Linked DNA regions of Caenorhabditis elegans. The protein of the gene in region 1 purifies or fractionates together with the protein of each later gene. This does not show direct contact. Each region holds a gene or a part of one and is shown on either strand. Other genes may lie near its edges. The genes, in order: ZC262.5 and R07E4.3.

Evidence for each region.
Region 2: the proteins of ZC262.5 (region 1) and R07E4.3 fractionate together in Caenorhabditis elegans (co-fractionation; one large-scale study listed by BioGRID). This does not show direct contact.

What each region holds. Positions count from the first base shown.
Region 1 is NC_003281.10:8,341,444-8,344,559, forward strand, and holds ZC262.5 (Putative ATP synthase subunit epsilon, mitochondrial), read right to left. Parts: upstream 1,168-3,116; coding exon 1,087-1,167; intron 865-1,086; coding exon 781-864; downstream 1-780. Other genes in the region: ZC262.7 (Kinesin motor domain-containing protein), read right to left, coding at 2,328-2,708, 2,759-2,893. UniProt on the Caenorhabditis elegans protein: Mitochondrial membrane ATP synthase (F(1)F(0) ATP synthase or Complex V) produces ATP from ADP in the presence of a proton gradient across the membrane which is generated by electron transport complexes of the respiratory chain.
Region 2 is NC_003284.9:5,951,369-5,954,417, reverse strand, and holds R07E4.3 (Cytochrome b-c1 complex subunit 8), read right to left. Parts: upstream 961-3,049; coding exon 688-960; downstream 1-687. Other genes in the region: R07E4.5 (VWFA domain-containing protein), read left to right, coding at 1,248-1,409, 1,455-1,640, 2,054-2,405, 2,459-3,049.

The DNA.
Region 1 (3,116 bases):
TTTCGTACAAAGTTCGTTGCACGTCTGCAGATATTTTTCGTGTCCAACCTCCACTGGGATTTGTAAAGCCGAGTGAAACAGTTTCAATTGTGATTTGGTATCAGAATCAAGACAAGAAAGATGCAATCTCAAAGAATCACTATTTCGCTTTTTACCATACCAACAGCGATGGAAGAACTGCTCGTGAATTATGGGCAAATTCGAAAGTTGAAGGTTACACTTAAAATTGGAATATCTAGTTTTTAATGTATTATTTCAGGTGTCCGTCGTCTCCCTGCTTCGTTTTTATCGACTAAGTGAACTTTGATCGAATGAAAATATTGTCATTTGTCATTTGTATTATTCAACTACATTAAATTTAGAGTTTAATGGTGCATGAATCATTTTCCAGGACTCGGCGCGATTTTTTATGGAGGCTGAAGTTCTGTATTAATTTAACAACTGTACTTCTTCTTCATTTGAAATATTTTTAAACACTGCCATGCGTTCTAGCACGAGCGAAACTTGTAAGCCACCGTACCAGCACCTACACGAGGTACGGTAACTGAAAACTTTTTCACGTGCCAGGACCCCGTTCCGGGAGTTTGTTTTGTCGGATTTTTATTATTCTGGTCAATACTCATTTTTTCTCACTTTTTCAAACGCTTTCAAACAAAACTAAGAGTTTATTATTGCACACAAATCAATAAAAAATGCGGAAAATGGCATATTGCACCGAACTTGATGAAACCTATTTGTTTATTTTTTTCTCAAATGGAAATGATCAATTATCGAATGAATCTATTGAGACTTGGACACCATCTTTCCATTCTCCCAAGCAGTGGTCTTCAAGGTGGCTTGGGGCTTCTTCACGTTGGCGCCTCCCTGTAATTTTTGATAATTTTTGCGATTTTTCATACTTTGATGTGGGACAAAAATGTGTGAACCTTTAGGAGCCCAGTAATTAATTACCGGTAATTTTCAGAAACATATTACTTAATTGAAACCTATAGGTTATAACTTGAAAAATGATAAACAGAAAATTAACGGAACGGGTTACTGTACCACTTAAAGGGGCATATATTGTTATTTAAGGGTCCAACAAACCTTGGTGCACTGACGAACGACTTGTGCGGCGATTTGTGAATAACGGACGTAGTTGAGTCCAGCAGCTCTCCAGGCGACCATTTTTGATTTTGGGGGAAAGTTATTTAACCTTAATTTATACTATAAAATAATAAAATTTTCAGAAAAAGGAAGTAAATTGAAAGGTATGGAGAACAACCTTTAGACTAGAGAAATCTGTAAAATAAAAAATAAAAACTTTATACAGTCAAAGTTCAACAGGAAACTTGATAATATTCGAAAGTTACTGAATAATAATTAGTTGGTCCAAAATGGAAACAAAACTATCAATAAATATTTAATTACATTAAACTTATTTCTCATAGTTTTCAATGATATTCTCACTCCAGAACACTAATCAGTTAAGCTCATGCGTTTGTTGGTTATTCTTGCTCGTATGTTATTGTAAAATCTTGTTTAAAAAACAGCAAAACGTTTATTTAATAACAGAAAAAATAATAATTTTATTTACTGGAAGAGCAAAAGATACAAAAAAATGAATTACGCAATTGGGATGTGCGGGGATTTGGGGGCCGAATTGTGCAGAAACGAAACAAGTTGATTTCTTATGAAGAATGATAGGGGGATTTAGCAAGCAAGCTTTAAAGACACTCAAACGCATGCAAAAAACAATCATAGGAGTGTTGGTGGGTGACGGGGGGAAGAACCAGACAAAACCTCGTGTCAGATTAGTAAAACTGAAACAGGAAAATCGTATAGAAACAGACTATTAGAACAAAAAGGCGGAAAAAGGCAATTTGGGTGGGGGTGGAGGGAAGCTTTAAATACTTTTAGCTTTTGAAGTTTTGTATTCTACATGGAAGACGAGAAGCCAAGGAACGAAATGGGGAGACACAACCAACCAAATGAAGATATTTTTGTTGAAACTTCCAGAAGCCGCGTAATTGTATAAGTTACTAGATTTTAAAATAAACAGAAAAGCCCATCGAAAGTATATCACAAAGCCGGGAAAAGAAGAGAGATAGAGAAGCATTTGAATGTCAGTCTTCAGTGTATTGATTGGATCAAAGAAGACGATGAGTTGATGTTGTTGTTGGGAGACATTATGCTGAAAAACTTTGATTAGTGAAAAATGGACGGACAAAAGACTGTTAAATTTGATAATACGGTAGGAAGAAAAAGAAACACTCACTCTAATTCTAATTCATAGTATAATTACTTGTGAAAAATTACATGAGCACTAAAGAATTTTTTAAAAAATCTTAAATTTCTGCAATCAACTGTGAAATAGTCATTTTTGATGGTATCTGATTGCGAGATGTTGAAGGTGTAGATGTCTGACTAAACACACCGTTTGAGCCATTTGGAGCTCCTTGTGACATTCCTGCTGACGGAGACGTATACACTTGTCCTGGACGGATTGGCTTCACAATTTGTGGAGCATTCATTCGTCGCATGTTACGTTGTCGAACAGCTTCCTTGATTCGTTCAACTTCTTGTTGATACTTCTTTCGTTCTGCTTGACTACGTTGCTTCGAATCACGAAGAGCAGTTTCTAATATTTTGATGCGATCTTCACGACCACGAAGACGAGCTTCCATCTTTGGCAGTTCAACGCGCAAATCGGCATTGTCGCGAACAAGCTGAAAATTCAAGTTTTAAGATAATCAAAATGAGAATAAAAACGACAAACCTGCTTGTGAACCTTCGTCAACTTGTCCAAATTGTTCTCCAAGAACTGAATTCGTTGCTTTTGAGCTGGTCCACTGAGAGAATCTTCTCCCTCGGTGTCTTGATTGGCTTGGCATCGAGCAACAAGTACTCTCATGAACTCCTTTTTCAAATTTAGGGAAAATTCTGGAATGTTCCAGAACTTTCTAGAAAAATTGGGAAAAGTCTGGAATGTTCCAGAACTTTCTAGAAAAATTGGGAAAAGTCTGGAATGTTCCAGAACTTTCTAGAAAAATTGAGAAAAGTCTGGAATGTTCCAGAACTTTCTAGAAAAATTGGGAAAATTCTGGAATGTTCCAAAACTTTCTAGAAAAATTGGG
Region 2 (3,049 bases), on another chromosome or scaffold:
GTTTTGTTTAGAAAATATTAACTTTGACTTTTTCTAATTGCTTTTTTCTGGAGAATATTTTTTAATTTTTCCCCACGTTCCTGAAATGACTAAAAACAATAGCAAAAAATTTTTTAAGTTTGCGATTGTTTTATGTGCAGTCACGAAGTAGTGAAAATTCAGTTTGCTCTTTTATATAATTGTTTTTGAAGTCGTCCTACGGTTTACTAATTTTGTTTCGGAAAATTTGGCAACTTGCCACAATTTTGACTGAAGTTTTTGAAAAATCTAAAATGTATTCAAGTGTTTAATTATTCTACTACAAACGTTTTTGAAAGAATTATTAGAGGTTCTTGCCGATTATACTGTTTTAATGCGTACACATACTAATAATAGTCTATCTTGCATGTTTGCAATGTTTGATTTGACTATATCAAACATTAGAATACCGCATTTGATCCTTTAGTCTGGTATTTCCTTGCTTAACTTTGGCAGTTCTCCCGCCTGATTTTTTACGTATGAAAACATTATCAGCTGACAAAATAATTAGCTTTTTTTCTTGTACTGCAGTTTTAAAGTAAATCATATTTTGATATGCTTGTGTACAAAAACACATTGTGATTCTAGTAATACATTTTATTTGAGAAAAAATTCCAACGTTGATTTCAATTAATACATTGAAATAACTAATCCAACTTCTTCCACAAGTTATTCGTCGTTGGCAAAATCAGCTGGATTTTTGCGGTTTGCAGCAACATTTGTCTTCTTGGCCCAATCGTAGAGAAGATATGCACCAATAGTTTGTGGAATGTAGTAGTACCATTGATCCCAAACGTAGGTTTTGAAGGTTCTCACAAATGCCTGATCGAAGAATCCTTTATAAGCTTTTTGTTCGTTTGGAGCCAATGCAAATCTATGCTCTCCATACATTTTTCCCAAATTTCCAAAATGTTTTCCCATTGCAACGGCTGAAGGCCTCATTTTTATCTGAAATAATAAACAAATTAAGAAGTTAAAGTAAATTTCAATGGAAAAAGTATACAGCAGTTGCGACGAGCGCCTCAGTTGGTTGGTGTGCAAGGACGCTCCATTGAGAACACGCTGCGAGACCCGGCCGTATAAATGTGTGCACCTTGGAGGGTGCCTCTGTCGTTATACGTTAAGTTTCCTCATTTATTATCCAATTTTTAGATTTTTTTGCAAAGTGTGGTTTTTATTTCTTTACTTTTTAAATGCTATTTTAGAAATTGAATATTGTTCTTTCAGGAATGCCGTTTCCCAACCAAATTCACTTTTTAGTCGACGCGAGTATAAAAATGCATGCAATTATCGATTGTGATGCGACACCAATGGAGAATGCGTACATTTTTCTGCGTGAAATTTGCAAAAAAGGAGATCATCAGCCGACCTATATCGATAGAGTTCATATTGTGAGTTTTTGAAGCAATAGTTTATAAAGTTTACACTTTTTTCAGCACATTGGTGATAATTACATTGAACTGGAAGAAGGAAAAGCACTGAAGATGTTTGAGGATTCGAAAAGTATGATTTTTGAGCCATCAGATCAGAATGATTTTCTTTCGCTTTGGAAAACTGCGTTGGACGCCGATGAGGATGAAAATGCGTTATTTTTCATTGTATCCACTATTGTTAATGAAAAAGTAAGTTGTCACCACATTAAAGGTGGAGTAACGCCAGAGAGGAAATTGTGAAAAATCACTCTTTTGGTGTTGAAATAACTAAATATCATTTAAAAAAAATTTCGGCAGTGTTCGGAAAACTTCAAAAAAGCGATGAAAAGTAAGCTTTCACCAGTCTGTTTTGGAAGTTATCGATGAAAAATAATAATTTCCTTTTTTATGTTATTCATGTTGAAAATATTTATATTCCAACATTGTAGGGATTTGTGTTTCATTTCTCGAAGAGTGGCACAAGCTCGGTTGTCACCGCTTTTTGGCCAAAAATATTAATTTCCAAAATGTTTTGAAAAGTTTCAAAATTATATTCAGTCATTGTAACACCATAAAACTTTACCTTTAAATAAGAAATAAAAAAAAAACAATCATAAATTCAGATTCTCAAAATGTTCCACAAATACCACAAAAAGATGACGTTTCTCGATTTTTCTGGAATCAAACTAAATATTTCTGAACGACTCAAAAGCGATGTTCATCTGGTTGAACACGGAACTTCAAAAAAACTAGCTGCGACAATTCACAAGAAGATTACCGAGAACTACGTCACAACGGTCAATTTCGGGACTTCTTTTGGAGTAGAACTTGCACCTTGTACTGTGAGAAAAAATGTGCCCTACGAACTTACCAAAATTGACATTGTTGGCACATCAACATATCAGCCACTGGAAACGATTTCAGTTTTGACGAGAAGTTTCCTTCTTCCAATTGACAAGTGCTATGACAAAAAAGGTAACTACTGTAATATGCAAATGTTTTAATTATTTAACCTGTCCTATTTCCAGGTTCGAAAGTGAATAATGCAGTCGCATATTGTGTTTTGAAAGAGATCATTGGTGATAAGCCTGTAGCACTCCTGGAAAAAGAAGATGAAAACGATCGGAGTTCTGATACAAGCCTTGAAAAATCCAATGAAGATATCAAAAAGGAAATTGACGACATGAAGTCTGAAACAACTGCGCCAGTTGTTCCAGTGAAACCTCGAGCACCGAAAAAAAAATTTCCAAACCTTGTTCCCAACAATGAAAACGGCTACGAAGGAGACGGAGAGTCTGGTCCAATTACAGCCGAAAATGTCAAAAATGAAAAAACAAATTTGACTAAAGGAGGGAGAAAGCGAAGATTGCAAACCCTCGAACCTTCAAATGCAAAGAAAGGAAAAGACGCCAAAAATGGCGATCTACTTTCTGAAGTGAAAAACGACAAAGAAGCCGAAACCAAAGAGAATGAAGACGGAAAAGCCTCAGCAGATGGGACACCAGATCCATTGTTCCTAGTTGCATGTGCAACGGAGCGCTACACTGGGTTACGCAGACCAGTTATTCTTCGACTCCGCGAATTTGACAAAGATGACAAGACTTATTATGATGAAGAAA